2 linked regions of the Oreochromis niloticus genome follow. The protein of the gene in region 1 purifies or fractionates together with the protein of each later gene. This does not show direct contact. Links are inferred from orthologs where the notes say so. Each region holds a gene or a part of one and is shown on either strand. Other genes may lie near its edges.

What was found.
Region 2: the proteins of NHP2-like protein 1 (region 1) and nop56 fractionate together in Homo sapiens (co-fractionation; 3 studies listed by BioGRID, with this or other methods). This does not show direct contact. The link is inferred for Oreochromis niloticus from reciprocal best matches to the Homo sapiens genes SNU13 and NOP56.

The regions. Positions count from the first base shown.
Region 1 is NC_031973.2:20,519,011-20,527,146, forward strand, and holds NHP2-like protein 1, read left to right. Parts: upstream 1-5,649; 5' UTR 5,650-5,877; coding exon 5,878-5,880; intron 5,881-6,059; coding exon 6,060-6,180; intron 6,181-6,655; coding exon 6,656-6,918; 3' UTR 6,919-7,126; downstream 7,127-8,136. Other genes in the region: uqcrc2b (cytochrome b-c1 complex subunit 2, mitochondrial), read right to left, coding at 1,039-1,115, 1,211-1,291, 1,421-1,620, 1,758-1,853, 1,943-2,000, 2,092-2,189, 2,454-2,578, 2,826-2,882 and 4 more.
Region 2 is NC_031970.2:28,334,215-28,342,637, reverse strand, and holds the start of nop56 (nucleolar protein 56), read right to left. Parts: upstream 3,409-8,423; 5' UTR 3,286-3,408; coding exon 3,283-3,285; intron 2,613-3,282; coding exon 2,523-2,612; intron 2,434-2,522; coding exon 2,319-2,433; intron 1,949-2,318; coding exon 1,784-1,948; intron 1,577-1,783; coding exon 1,378-1,576; intron 1,197-1,377; exon of another isoform or gene 1,061-1,196; intron 614-1,060; coding exon 426-613; intron 261-425; exon of another isoform or gene 142-260; intron 47-141; coding exon 1-46. UniProt on the Homo sapiens protein: Involved in the early to middle stages of 60S ribosomal subunit biogenesis. Required for the biogenesis of box C/D snoRNAs such U3, U8 and U14 snoRNAs. Part of the small subunit (SSU) processome, first precursor of the small eukaryotic ribosomal subunit.

The sequences.
Region 1 (8,136 bases):
TTTCTAATAAGGAATCTTATTTATCTGCAAATGATATTCAACTTTTTAAAAAAAAATACAGGAATGAGTAAAAAAAAAAAAGAAATATGGAGGTGGTGGAGGGCAGAGCTTCATCCAGTAGTGAGTCAGGTCCTAATTAGGGGGTGTTTTGAACATGAAACCAGTCTGGCAAGGGCAGCTGCTGGGTCCAGCTGGCCTGCCTACACCAGGGGACGACTGCAGCTGCAGACAGGTGTGAAGAAAGGCCCAAGTGGCAGTGGACCTGCATGCTTCAGTGGGGCCAGTGACAGAGAGGTGAAGCCATCAGTCAGCTATTACGTGCTACCAAAAGCAGACTGTGACACACCCCGAGTCAAATTAAAAGTAATTGCAGGCCACCAGAACCCTTCCACAGACTCATCAAATAGACCCAAGACAGAGACTGTTCCTTAAAGGCTCTAAACATCAGGTGGGTTTGAGCTTTTAGGGAGGGTTGAAAATGCACCATTGCAAATGAAAGGATGCATTTGGTAGTGAACACTTGGAAGCCAAATTCATAACTGAGATTAATGTCCAAATCATTTCCTAGCTCTGGATCAACAATTACGCCACAAAAAAGGCAACAAGTGGCAGCTGTACAAAAAACAGAAATCACAAGCTGTGGGAGAAGCCTGATCTCACTTCCTGAAGGTAGATAAATCATACAATGCCAGTAAAAATGAGATGCTTCTCTCTACTGCAGCGTGTTTAAAGGATTTTTAAAATTACATAACACAATCCGATGCACGTGTAACATCTTTCTTTTATACAGGCCACTGGCCTCTTTCATATTTTTCCTGCCTTGAAAAACTAAAAAAGAAGCTAATTTTAATTACTGTATATACCGATGAATCTATCAGCATTATTTATCACTAGATTTATCTTTCATTAACCTAAACCTGAAAATTTAACATATTTTTATTTAGCGTTTCTATAGCCAAATAGCAGAAAATGTAGATTTTATGTCAGAGGTACATTCTCTCAGGTCTCTCTCATTCCGTTTCTGTCTGTCTGACTCACTTTGCTCGAGTGAGGTCAGCAGCTGTGACTCCACCGTCAGCAACAGCCTTCACCTGGGCAAGAGCAGCCTTGATCACCTGCAGGGAAGAGTGAAACAGTGCTCTCAATAGCAGTTTCATTTGGGGGGAAAAGAAAAAAAAAATTGATTTTCAAGACTAGGGGGCATACTCACATCACCAGCAGCTGCAGCCTGAGAGATGGTGTAGACCCCAAACAGGCCAGAGTCAGAGTAGCTTGTATTGAAAGCAGTGACCTGGTGTGGGAGACAAAGACTGAATTAGAATAAAGCTGGATTGTGTTTTTGTGGTTAATGTGCAGACACACTGCTCTGTAGGCGTATGGCTTATTTACAATTTATCTTACAAAACTGAAAGGCACTCACATCAAAGGGGTCTGCTGTTGCCTTGGAAACACCCTGGACCAGTTTACTGGCGACGCCTGCTCCTCTCTTGACGTGCGGCCCAGCTCCCAGTAAATGCTGCAGCACACTGAAGGCCAGAGCCTCGCTGGTGCCTGCTGCTGCTGACTGGCTCACCACGGCTGAATGGACCAGACTGCTGGTGCTGGGCAGGCGAATCTCACCTGGAAAGAGGCACGAGGTCATGAGACAGGGAAGTCTGCAAGGTCGATCAATTTCTCAGGTTGGAATCATTCATTCAAAATTTGCTTAAATCCTTTATTTTTTCTTTTCCTTCCCCCTCTCAGCCAGCTCGCCTCACCTCCACGATACTGTGCCTTAGCCCCCGTGGTGCCGGCTCCACTGCGGATGTTGAGGAACTGCTCTCCCACTTGCTTCAGCACAGTGTGGTCAACGCCTAGTAGAAAGGTAAGCATTGTTATCGTTTATCAGAAATCTGGCTACTTCTTTCTTTATATGGAAAATACTTTAAACCCTAACACTTACCAAGTCCAACAAGGGCCATTCTTGCACTGGTGAAATTGTTCTGGACAAACTGGTGCAGCTGGAGAAAAATGCAAACATTGCAATAATTCATAATTGTTTTAGTTTGTATGTTTTGTACTCATAATATACAAACAGAAATATATACTCACATGCTCAGAGTGGATGTTGTTGATCATGTGGTCTGGGCAGTACAAGGAGTTACACAGGGCGTTCTTGTAGGCAGCTTCATGCAGACCTTCAACCACACCTAAAAAAGATGGATGGGTGACTGTTAGCTGCAACGCACTCATGGTGAAGAAAAAACAGAGAGAACATTACTGTCCCTATATGACAGTTTGGTATCTAGGCTCTACAGGCTAATTATTGATTAATCGAACAACCCAGAAGCTTTTTAAAATATTAATCAGGCTCAAAGGTGGGAATATGAATTAAGTAGTTCTATAATAAAACAACAGATCCCTTAAAAATCTTTCAAAAAAACTGAGTGTTGTAAGAGAAACAAAGGGCCCACCTATCTGGGCGCTCTGTGCAGCTTGTGCCTTGTCCACCTTTACTTTTGGGGTGAGGTCTGACACCTCCCACGGACGGAATTCGGGGGCTGTTGTCACATTGATCAAATACTCCATCACTGTGTCACTAGAGACCAATAATAGAGGAAGGGGGGGAAAAGAAAGTTATCACTCCTGCAACATCACATCTCAGAGCATTCATATGTTCCAGTGAATGTAGTCATTTCACCAAAATATGGAAAAGTGTGTAAACAGAAAGAGACAAAGTTCTTTAAGTATCTCCTAGTACTTTAAACATTTTCATTACGTTATTATTATTATTGCTCAATCATCAACACACTCATCACACACAAAGGTGACATGCAGAGACTCACACGTCATCTCTTAAGCAGTCGACGGTGTAGGTCATATTCTCTCTGGATGAAGTCACGCTGCACAGGAATACACAGATATGCAAATTAGACACCTAAAAATAATTAAATGACTGTTTACAAGAAAAACCTTTTATTTGTTTTTGGCTAAGTTACTGACCTTAGACTGCCTCCCACTGCCTCAATACCACGGCATATCTTGAAAGCTGAAGCTCCCTTGGTTGTCTGAAAAGGCAGAAAAGTTAAGTAACATGTCGACTGAAATGCGGCAATGTTACACACCGTTACAAAAGTAGTGATCTTAAGCTCCATTTATTAACAACAGTTGTGCAGGCTTTTTAATATGTAAACACTGTTATATTTCTAATCAAAATAAGATTTTTGCCTAAAACTGAATAAAGATTTGGTTTGTATTCTGGTGCATCTGCAGCTTTACTCATTTCTGTCTTTCAACAACACCAAAGGACCAAGGTTGATGAGGACAATGCTTACTTCAAGTTAAATGTTATTATTATTTTTTTTTAAGTTACATACCAGACCGGAGGCCAGCCGGAGGAGGTGGGTGACGCCCTGGTTTTCAGGGGTTTCATAGCGACAGCCAGCCTTGATGAAGACTCCAATTTTGGAGGCTGGAGAATAGTTCTCCAGTGAAGCGATCACCAGCCCGCTGGGCAGCCTGGTCACCTGGAGACATATAGAGATGTCCTTTAGCGTTGTTAGTACCCTGAGTTATAGGCAGTGATTCAGTTAACTGGTTTCCTTGGCTTTTATTTATACAGCTCAGACAATGTGGGCATTTAGTTAGATTACTTAATATTTTATATTCAGCAAGGTGAAAAAAAACAGATAAAGCTTAAAACATAACCAATATATACTACAATTCTCATCACTGCCCGACATACGTGGACATCCTGGTAGGAATGGCCAACTCTGGGAGAGAGGCTGAGGCCAGCCAGGGGCTGAGCAAGGGACTGGTCTTTTCTGGCAGCCGCATAGAAGCGTTTCTGCAGAGAAGAAAAAGAAGTCAATAACCACTGACCTGAACATCCTGTGGATGAAACCCAGTGACCTCCACCTTACGGGCAGCCTGGGCTGCATAAAACCTTGTCTGGGGAAAAGAAAAACAAAGAACACAGGAAGGCAGGACATTACAACTAATGTTTTGCTGGCCTGTTGGCTGATATGAGCACGAACTTTAAAATAATGGGATCAATGGCATTAGTAGGGCAGCCTGTACTAAAAGAACTGAATGTTGTGACTAAATATGAAGCTAGAATTATACAGGTGAAAAAATAATCTTATGACAAGGCCCACTTAAGTCTCTGTTCTGCATTTTGTTTAAGCATATCACCAGGTTTAAATCTGCAGGTCAATTTTTCCAAATTATCTTTGAAAGTATCAAGGATTTGTAAGATTGTAATGTACTCTGAAGTGTAATAACAACCTCTATATGGGTCTTGGTGTCTTCCAACAGAATGATGCCAAACAACATTACTACCCTTTAACGACAAATGTGAAAAAGTAAGAACATCTTTTTAAAACTAGCTACAATCTACCATTTCAGGCTGCCAGGGTTCTCACTCAGTAAACACACATAAGTATTGATGTTTACTGCTAAATCCAAACTGCAATAATTGCACAATATTGCAGATAAGAAAGGGGAAGATATAATTAGATAGTAAAATGGAAATGTAAGTTAAGCAACTCGACGGCTAGGTCCTTCATAAACACGAACCTAGCTAGCTCTCATCGCTCAGACGTCAACTAGTTTGATTTCTCTAAGCCTTACTTGAATTAACGGAATAGACAGTATTAAGCTGGGTGTACAACGACTTAAAATCCGCGGTGTTCGTGATGTAACTAGCAGGTTATTGCTGGTTATGCTCGGAGTCATTCATGACAAGACCTAGCTGACTGCTTCCTCGTCTGCTCCTCATCACAGCCTGCCCGGACACGACCCGGAATTTAGACACCGTCTAACAAACACAGCCCACAACTCGGTGTACAAATGTTCCGACACACAGACACGTAGGACACATTGCCCGAGTCCTCACCGATAGCTGACTGATTCCCCGAATCCCCTTCATCGCCCCTCTTGCCTTGGGTCAGGACGATGAAGCAATATGGCTGGCTTCAAAGTGCCCTACCCAGAATCCTCAGCGCTTTCTTCGCTTGTAAACGGTGCGTCTGCCTAGCCAGTGACCGCGCGCCCTCTGCTGCCCTGGAGATGAGAGAAAATAATAAAATAAAATAAAATAAAATAAAATAAAATAAAATAAAATAAAATAAAATAAAATAAAATATTTTTTCATTGGACCAGACAGAGCCAGCTGGATGGTTTGCACCGAAGTTATGAAATGCACTGATATGAATATTATTATAAATACAAAGAGGTGTATGTAATATCGGTATGTAAATGACAAGGAATGTGTTTAGAGATGGTTTGCACATGCGCACAGGAGGGATAGGGGATGCTGAAATGATGTAAAAGGATGTTGAATATGGAGCTGCCAGGCAGGAGGATAAAATGAAAACCACAGAGGATGTTCATGGATGTAGTGAAGAAGCACACGCGGAGGGTTGCTGTGAAAGAAAAGAATGCTGCCAGGTTAAACTATTTTGGCACAGGGCAGATGTGCTGAACTCTGAAGGGAGCAGGTGAAGGGAAAATAAATAATTTCCGTGTATTTATTTTAAAACGTATTTGTTTTTCAATAAAAAAAAATGTCACCCCTTTCCAGGTCGTCTTTTATTTGGTAAAAAAAATGAAAGTGACTTGTTTCGTTGTATTTTCACATTTATTAACAATTTTTTTCTCCCAAAGCATTTCCTGTGATTTCGCCAGCGTTGCCAGTGCGCATGCGCCTCACACCACACGTGTGGCAAACGTTTGGAGTCGTTGCATGCGACGGAGCTTAGAGAGTTGTACCGCTATAAAATACATCACAGGTTATCGCATCTTGCATCGTGTCGTCAATCTTTCAGAAGCCAGTCGAATTAAAATAGTCCTCCGTGAAGCATTTCGCCGAGAGGGCCGGAATAGCACAAAAACACCATGGTGAGTGTCTTCTCAAACGAACAAGCTAACAGAGTAGCTAGCTAGCTACCATCGAGCATAGTAAATTAAGTGTAGAATTCAGTAGAAGTGACCAGAAACAGTGCTGGTGACTTTTTTTTTTTCGTTAACTGGTTTCTCTTGGCTAACATGGAGTTACTTTGTTTCTGTGTGGTGAACAGACTGAAGCACAAGTGAACCCAAAGGCCTACCCGCTGGCCGACGCCACGCTGACCAAAACTATCCTGGATCTGGTGCAGCAAGCCTCAAACTACAAGCAACTGAGGAAGGGAGCCAACGAAGGTGGGTAAACACAACGTGCCGTGCGACACAGTCGGTGCAAATGAATATTTAATTTGTTAATGAACGGATTTGAGTGGCCAGGTGACACCAGCATGTTTGAAACGTGGTTTCTCTTCACTTAAAACAACTAGCTTTAGTCACAAGCCTCTGATTTCTGCATGAATGGGATGTCTGCGAGAAGGAAAATAACTTTTAGTATTGTTTATACAGATAATTGTTAACTTACACCATAGCTGTGTCTTCCTGTGGAGGCTAATGATTAGTCAATGTCGAGTGTATTTATTATATGAATTACTAAGTGCTTGTGAAAAATGTGTTAAACAGACACTTGTATTTTTGTTTTGGGCCACATCAAGAATAACGGTGCTGCAGTAATGAAGGGCACTTTTTTGTGTAACCTGTAATATGCTGAGCATTGTTTTTGTGTTTCCAAGAACAAACTTGCTGTATTTAAGGTGTTCTCTTTCTTCCCCAGCCACTAAAACCCTGAACAGAGGCATCGCTGAGTTTATCGTGATGGCTGCCGATGCGGAACCACTGGAGATCATCCTCCACCTGCCGCTGCTGTGCGAGGACAAGAATGTCCCCTACGTGTTTGTCCGCTCCAAGCAGGCCTTGGGCCGGGCCTGTGGGGTGTCGCGCCCCGTTATCGCTACCTCAGTCACTATAAAAGAGGGGTCTCAGCTCAAGCCACAGATCCAGTCTGTTCAAATGGCCATTGAGAGACTGCTTGTGTGATTTTTCTTTCACTGACAAAAACTCCTTGAGGGGAAAAAACCGTTTTAAATAGTCCCGTCCTTTGTTTGATTAAACATGAGGGGGAAAAATCATGTTTAATTGTTTTTGTTTTGTTTCTTGCTTTTTGGGGACTGATGTTTCTCATCAGGAGTTTGTAGTAGCCCTGCTCACTTATTAATAAAATAATTCTTTTTGTTATTTCTTAAAACCTGGTCTTGTTTTCATTTTTTCTTTTTTCTTTTTTTTCAAGATGAGTTCAAACAAAGTGATTCCCAAATGGTTAGTAACAGAAAACTGGGCATATCTTTGCATGGTCTGATGTGTGTCAGGCTTAAAAAAAATAGCAAATGAGCACTATCTGAAAATCATGTCCTTGAGAGACCTGATTGATGCATCTATTCTTCACTGAATCCAGGTTACAGAAGGTTACAGAAGCACTGGGCTGGAAATCAGTGGCAAACCGGTCATATTTAGTGATGACTTTGAAATGTTTGGTTCAAACTGTCTTCAGTATGGCAGAAGTCAAGCAGCCTTGAGAACTATTCTCGAAGACTACTTAAAGAAATGACAGGCAAACTATCCTTGAAAGAATAAATGTGGTCATACCAAACACTGACCTAACAAACTGTTTTTGCTGTATATGCTGTAATTCTGTATATGTTTGCATGTGTTTTTGTTTTTTCTGGCTCAAAACCTTTGTACAGTACTGTATAAAACACGTTCTTACACTGATCACTACATCAAAATGTTAATTACAATTTTCTTTTCTTTTTTGTTTGCATCGGGATAAATAATCAGTCGGGAAACAATCTCAAAAGCACGAATGTAAATTGTCAATTAAAAGTAATGAATTCATAATTCCGAATTTCTAAGTAGAGTCATACAAATACTAACAGCTGTGAAAGTCAAAGGACTTCCAAACCTTCTAGGGGCCGTGAAAGCAGCATGTAGCTGGCCCCGTTAGTGGTTATAATCTGAAGACAGGACATTGTTTCACAATCGTTTGCGTAGAAAGTGCAACACTTAAACACTGATTAAGTGGGTATCAACCTGAGATTGGCTTGTTTGAATACTTTCTCCCCTTAAACTGGTGCCAAAGCACAGACTACGGGAACCTGGCGCTTGGAAAGCGCAGTGGATTAGACAGCCTTCTCTGTGCGGCCCGCCTCTCTCCGCGCAATGTGTTTAAAAAAGCTTTACCGCGGCTCTTGAACGCAG
Region 2 (8,423 bases), on another chromosome or scaffold:
GAAAACCTCTCGATGTTAATCAGGTCAATGGGAGATATATCCATACCTGAAGACCAAACAACCAGAGGATGGATCAGCATTGTATCTTTAGCAGGTGCTGCATTTGTGACATTTTAAACCAGTACATGGCATGAAATGTGAGATTGTTTCTCCCGACAGGATCCGCAGTGAGGATGCATGCCTTCACTACAGGTTTATGAGAGAACTACTCTACCCCCCTGTGTTAGACACCAAGGACACTTGTAGTCCAGAGTGGGCAAAAAAGGGGCACAATGTGGAGTTGGGACTTAAGTCTCGAAGCGTAGAGTATGTGAATGAACCAGATTCAAAATATGGCATGAAGTGGATGAAATTATCTTTGACCCAAGCAGGATGTGTTTTTGTGAAATTATGCAGCACATACTCTGAATGTCCGGTGTACTCACCCATAGAGGAGCGTGATGCATCCAGGATGGCCTGAGCCTTGGCACTGTCCATCACCACCTCCTCTAAACTTTCTAGGCTCTCCTCTGACAACTCCTTCCTGTTTCCAATGAGCTGAGCCAGGCGGCAGTACATCGAGTTGTCGGACACAATTTTGATGAGCTCCGGAAAGTGGTAGCCATACCATTCACTGTAGATAAACAAGAGGTTGTTAAAACTTTGAGTGCAGGGTTTTTGGAGTAAGCATTTAAAGGCTGCACATTTACAAAAAAAACAAAAAAAACAACTATTATAAAACAAACCCAATAACCGAGGCTTTTATGCTCAAGCACAAAACAGAACTACCCATTAAGATGGCACAATTTTTAATTAAGTTCAAGACTGCTGAAAAATATCACTTTCAAAATTACAGCTTCTCTTTCTCTCAAGATATCCAATTCTATTCACAGAGTCCTGTATCGGTAGGACAAGCCTGGAGCTTTTAAGACTTGAATGCTACAGCTGACAATAACTGATGCCTAAATGTTCTAGATGATCTTGCACTCTGACAGTTTGCACCAGGACACTTCACACCAAAATGAATGCATGCGCCACGACACCCCAAACAGCTACAAGATGCTGAGCTAGTAAATATACATGATGTTCCACCCAACAGTGTTGCCTCACCAGATAGCAGCTGGCAGAGCAGAAGTGTTGGGAGTAACTGATCTACCTCCTGTTTCTATACAGTCAGCACTCTGAGGTGTGCTGTCTGTGGTAAGCATTAGGAGGATGCCCCAAAATGTACCCTGAACTACAAAAAGCCTGATGCAAATCTGTCACCAGAAAAGCCATAAAACTAGAGAAGAGATTAAAAGAGTAAAAGATGAACAGCATGAAAGGTTAACATGTTCCCTAAACTGTTTAATTTTATGCAAAAACCAGTCCTTTTACTGTGTGATGAAAATTTCCTACCGGACACGCATGGAGAAGGTGTTGATGTCTTTGTCCAGCTGATCCAACAGAGCAATGGACTGGATGATCATGTTATCTACCCTGTTGACATTAAACTTGACTTTAGCTCTGGAGTAGCTGTGGCCAAGACCCAACTGTGCCTTGGAGGCAGCCAGGGCAGTCAGACCTTTCACCAGAGAGTGGAAGTGCAGACGCAAACCTGACGGGACAGGACAGATTGAGAAGGTTTGCTGAGTGTTAAGAAGAACACGAACAGAAAAGTGCAGATCCAACGGCTGTTCAGATTTTCAGTATGAACCTTCATGAGTTTCAGGATCACAAGTTCACATCACAACAGTCCACATTATTATATAGACACAGTATCGTTTTGCATATTTTGTAATAACTCTCAGGTAAACATTCTCACCTCGTGTGATCTCAGCCACCACCCCTCCAGTTTGGATTGAACTGCTAAGTTCTTCTTGTAACGCTGCTCCAATCTTGGCATCAGAAACCCCCAACACTGATTTTTTCTTCCCAGACTGGGGCAGATTGGTCTCTAGGAACAGCTTCAGGTCAGCATGAACCATACCTTCAAGGGATGGAAGAATGTAATTACATCTGTAGACACGTGGTTGAGATGGAAAGGCATCTAAAAGATACGACACTGACTATTGTGATATTATCATATTAAAGCCCGATAATTTGCCATCATGCAATCTTGCCATCTCAGAACAAATTGAACATAATTAAAGTAGTCTCATTAACAATTATTACAGATAAAAGAACAAATCAAAATCTACAATTTCGGCTGTCCATGTAAAGTCTTTCCTCAGGTGTTCAGGGTTGATATGAAACTGTCAGCACAAGAACTCAGTGGATTGACAGATTATAAAACATCATTACAGCTGAGGACTTTTCCACACAAGATTGATAAAGAGAAAAATGATAATCATACATACCTTCAGAGATGGCGTTCATGTTCTCCAGGGCGGCCTGGGCCGACTTGAAGGGGAAGAAGGCGGCTAAGCTCACCATGCTGTTAAACTTTCCGAGGCTCAGCACGCTCGCCTCCACCTGACACGACACAAAAGCACAATTATCAGTGCTCTGCTTAAAGAGCACACAAAACAGATAGTACACAGGAGTTAGGGAAGAGGACGCACCTGGGGCAGCAGCATGCCGATCTCCTCCACTTCTTTGACGGCGAACAGCGCATAGCCCGCCGCGTGCTCGAACAACACGTGCAGCAACACCTAGGGAAGGTGAACGTGCACGATCGAGTTAGACGACAGACGTAAACAGGTAACACTTGCAGCCAGCAGAAACTGAAAGGTGTTTCTAAAACTACGTTCAGATCAAGTGTTTACTAGTCCCCACGTGCTGACCAGCGAGACACGAGCTAACTTCACTTTCGATTAATTCCTAAAATAAGATTGCAATTTTAGGCATAAATGTGCAGTAGCTTTTTCAAAAGTGTTTTCCCACTTCAGGTTTAGCTACCACTGCTTTGTCGTAACTTTCACACGTAACCACGTTGCAGTCTCGATGAACCCACGTGTCGACCTAGGCCTGCGTATAACGTGCTTGCTAAGAGCTAGCTTGTGCTAACACGGCCCCTAGAAAAGTACAATACCTGCTACAGCACTGTCAATATCAGTGCTTCTGGCACGACTGCGACTAACACAGCTGGACACATCATTTGTCACTTTAAGCCTTTAAAGTAAAATATATATTTTCCCGCTAATGTCAGCACTAGCGGAACTGCTCCCCAAATGTCGGAGGGCCTTTAGCTCGACAGAAGTGAACTAAATCTAACTAGACATTTATACTCTTAAAACGCAACTAACTGCAAAAAAACTTAAAGTGTAAAGTTTAACGAACAATTTGCAGTCATGCCAACATATCCAACCCCGCTCAGCTTACCATGATTGGAAAATCTGCGGCAGCACGCAATTCGTGTCTGCTGTGCTGCTTCACCTCAGCAAAAAGACTGCGTCCACGCGTTTCAGCAAACAGCAGCACCGCCCCAAATCCCGCGGTAGCAGCTCTGACATCGCGAGACCCGACCGAGAAAGCTTCAATATGCGTCCTTTCCCCAATTTCCTATGCTGAAGAAACAAATATTAAAATATAAGGTTCGTGCTCTTATATATGTTCTCATCTAACTGTGGGTAAACGCGTCCCAAAATATTTTTTGTTTTTTTTTTCTGAAGCAGTGTATTTACAGTTCACACACTGAGAAAAGGTCGGAGGGGGCAAAACAGACGAAAACAATAAAGTGTTTGGGCCACGTGTATTTGTTGGTAGAGAAATGTTTTAAATATCTATAGCCAGGGACTGCAGTTTAAAAAAAAATACAGACTACCACATCTGCAGACTACCACAGTGGATTCCAAGTCTTACACTTAATATGCGATTTTGAAGTCCAGGCGTTCAGTTTTAATTAGAGGCGCTTAACAAAAGCATTACATTAACTGTTTAGGAGTTAAAGTAATTTGTATACAGTGTCCACCCAGATTAAAAACTAACTGCACAAAGTAGGATTATTTTAAATAAGAATGATTTATTTTTAATTGAAGGAAAATCCTATCCTGAAGTCTGTAAACCATAAATATCACCACATGCTTTTTTCTTCCTTGAGATGCTCTGTTATGCTGGCACTGTTGCCACTTTGGTTGATGCTTGTATGTGGGTCTTTCTGGATTGAGGTTTGTGTTTAATTACTAAACAAAATGCTATATTAGGTTGGGATCAGATAAATAGGCAATTGAAGAATATCCCATTTCATTGCCATGGCTCGCTCGCTGGTTGCTTTTGCATTATCGCTCGGGTCATTATACATTTGCACTGTGAAGTGCTGACTAATCAGTTTTGCAGTATTTGGCTGAATATGAACAGAATACCAGCCTGTGCACTTCAGAATTACGTCTTTAATCATCATTAGCTATTTCTCTCCATATTTTTCTCTTCTTGTCATTGTGGTATTTATTTATTTATTAATTAGTCAACATTTACAACACTTACTCAACTTTGCAGGTTCTTTATATGTTTTATGGCATTGCTCTTGAGTGTACCTAGTGGTTTGCACGTTATTTTCATCCATGAACACCTCTCTTGATCATAGACTTGTTACAATGACATGGTTACCGCATCTAACCAAGTCAAGTGTTTTTGTGAATGTTTTTTTTTAACTCCTTCAATTGCATCAACATTTCTTTGGACCTCTTATTGAGATTAACTGTCAAAAGCACTTGAATTAACACCAAATGTTTCCAGCTGCTTTATTTGTCATGAAACAAGGGAGCAGAAAATTGCTTGTTAGAGGACTGTCCAGTTACCTTTGATCCTTTGAAAATGGGGGACTTTAGATAACAATGACTGTAATTCCAAAAAAGTTATTGCAATGCATCCCCTGAATTTGCTGGCCCCCCACAGCTTCTGCTCAGCTCTGCTGAGAATCATTAGTGAAGGTTGGAATCAATCGATCAATCAGTCAATCAAAACAAATTATTGTGGATTTCAAAATGGGTTTCATATGTACGTATTTTCAATGATATCAACTTTAATGGCAGGAAATTAACTGGGTTAATTATTTTCTTTCTCTCTTTTTTGCCATAATTTTCAAGTAACCTATATTTGACAACAGCATAATAAAACTAGAAAATTCTGTTTTTGAGGTGACACCCCAACATTTTTAGTGGCCCCCACATGGCTAACCCTATGAAAAAATTCTGGAGGCGCCCTTGGGCTCAGTCTGAATTCACAGACAGCAAAGCTGGCTTGAAGAAAGGCTGTAAAATGATGTGTTTCAGAAGATGAATAAAGATTATTTTTTAATTGTGACTCCAAGAGTCCAAGAGTAAAAACATGGCATTGGAAGTGAGATTTTCCCCCTTTAAAGGGAAAATCCCAAATTCAGTACCCAGTGATTGATGTCTTGAAACATTTGCTGTGGTGTTTGATTCTGTATGCCAAAGTTTAAAATGTAGATTTGAATATATACAGCATGGTTTATTTTAAACTGTTTATACATATTCTTTACTAGTATTATAATATAAAGGTTATACAATTTCCATAATTTATCCTGAAGCCTCTAAATCCCTAAATGTTACTTTAAAATACATACTCTAGGTGTTAGAAAAATGTAGCAGTCACCTGTGTGTCATAGTGCTTGTGTAATATAAAGTGCTAGAGAAGACATACAGAGCTCCATCTATGCACCTAAAATGTAATAAACCACACAGAACAATAGCAATGCTTGTAATTAAACACTCTTGCTGAGTATTCTGACAACAAAATAAAAATAAATTGCAGTAACATTTCGCCACCGTGCAGGAAATAAGTCATGAGGTTTCCAAGGCACAGATGCATGTGGGTCTGTATGTGCGCGAACACAAATTAGTAGCAGGTCATAAATGTCAGAATGTGTTAGATAATTACTTGGAGCCGAGGATATATGACTGACTTCTTTGAAAAGACTGTCGTAATTGTTTTTCCCCCGCTTCTATATTTAACTCAGTGACCCAAACGAAAGTCACGTAAAAATTGAACTTTACTTTTCAGTTTGCAGTTTGTCTTTTGTAGGATGTGTTATGAATACATGAGTTAATTCTACTTCCTAAAGTGAGTAAAAATAAATGAGGAAATGACTGCTTTGATTTTTTTTAAAACTGCACAGTATACATTCATCTTATAATTTATACGTACCAGTGAAGATTAGGTGAGTATACTAACCTAATAAAAAAATAAAAAAATGAGCCAGCCGTTCCTGAGTAATATTTGTGTTTCCAGGACTATGCTTGAAGGAGCTTGTTGAGGAGCGGATGTGAGGGAGGACAGTAAAAAGCTTAGGGATCAGGAGAGGGCTTGATATAAAGGCTGACAGCAACAAGCTGACACTCAGACCACTGGAGCTCTGCTCATTTTAAAGCACACTTCCTCAAGCAACTAACCAACGCTGACACAGCATGTGAGTAACTCATGGCTTCTTGTGCTTCTGTCTCTCTCTGCCTCTAGGTCTTTCTCATTTCTCTTTCTCTTTGATGTTCTGTTTTCATCTACTCACATTTGTGCACAGACCTGTCTTGCTGGTTGTAAATATGGTTCCAACCTCTTATCTATCTTGCCTCTGGAGGAGTTTGTTGTTCTGCCCCCCCCCCCATCTCTAATGTATTTCCCAAACTCTGTATTACATAAGCACGAGATTCCTTGTGTTTCTTTGTCCGCTCTCGGTTACATGCTGCATGTCATGCCAGATGTCGACCACTGCAAAATAGAGTCGCTTGGCCACCTTCAGACTGTATTGTGTGTGAACTTTCTGCTCTGTATGTACCAATGTGTATGTTTCTAGGGGACAGAGCAAAATGAGCATGCGTGGAGCAGTGGCTGGTTGCGTGGTGCTGGTGTGCCTGATGGCGCTGCTGGTTCAGAGGACGGAGGGACACATCACGTTCTTTAGCCCAAAAGAGTTGATGCTGATGAAGGTAAGCAGCTTGTGTGTACAACTAGGGCTAAACTAGAGCTTAATGAATTGGTCAGTCCAGACCACAAAATCAGTCACGATTTTCAGTCATGAATCAGCCGTTTAGCTCATTGGTGTTTGATCCCAAACTTTTCTGAAGGTTAGGATTAGTTCCTTTTACATACTGGTAAACTGATTACTGTTGTTCCTGAAAAACCAAAAGGTTCTGTGAAATAATTGATAATATTGTGGGATATTGCCTACAGATTCGATTTTGTAATGTAGCTGTCAATAGAAAATTGTAGTCAGTATAATCTTTTAATAATATAAGTTTGCATATGATAGAATACTGCATGATGACCTCTTTATAACTCAGACTGTTTTGATTCACTGTGACCCGTTATCATGCAGGGAAGGAGCAGTACCTGCTAGATAAGAGCTTAATAAGCAGTTTCACTTTGTACCAGGTAGAGGAGCCTCTCCTGGCACACGCATACGCACACACACACGCGCGCACACACAGACACACACATATCCGCACATGCTCATGCATCAACATTCCACTGAACAAACGTATTACTCTTCTTGTGTATAAATAAAGACCAGGGCAGTGGCAGAGCGCGAGTCTCGGAGCCCTCACTCCAAGTGTGAGTGCTCTTTGGCTGCCCTTGCATGCAAGTAAAACTTTGTGTTTCTCCTCTCTGATTCTCAGCTGAAGAAGTGTCTTAGAGTACATCTCTTGACAGTAGCAAATAAAGAATTGGCCTATTAAGTTATTGTTGTTGTTTTTTTTCTAGCAAATAACAGAGTAAGTACAGTCTATTTATGTAATGCTTTTAGTGACAAAAGTCACAAAGGATGTACAACATTTAAAAGTTAAAATTAAAATGAATAGAGAAGCATATTAAAACAGAATAAAAATAGATAAAAGCATAAATAACTAAAGAATGTCAACAAAAGGCCTCATTAAACAGAAAGTTTTTACCTGTTTTTAAAGGAATCCACAGAGTTGGGTAAACAGAGCTGGAGTGGTAAACTCTTCAAGAGCTTTAGTGCCACAGGCTGAAATGGGAATTTTAAAACAAATTCTCGACTCAACTGGACACCAACATAAAGAGAATAAAATTTGGGTAATGCGAGCTCGCTTGCAGATGTGAAAGAGATGGTTTATCTAAGCCGGTAAATAAGGTGTTACAATAATCTAGGTGTGATGACACAAATGCATGAACAATTTTCTTTAGTTCAAAGGTGTGGACCATACTTTGCTATTTAAAAATGCTCCTTAAGTGAAAGTAACAGGAATGTGTGATAGATTTTATATGTGACTCAAAGTCTGAGGAGTCGAATATTACACCATGATAACGAACATGGAAGCAATCACTTGACTGATTCTTGAATGTATTTCAGGAAGAGCTATAATCATGGCCTAAGTCTTGTTAGTTTAAAACAAGGCAATTACCGAAGCCAGTGACTAATCTGTGATAAACAGTCAGCTAGGGTGGACATCTGAATATCATTAGCATAGAAATGATACAAATTCCAGAAAAAAATTGAATCAAAGATCGATGCATGCTAAAGGAAGGATGGAAAAGGAAAATAATCA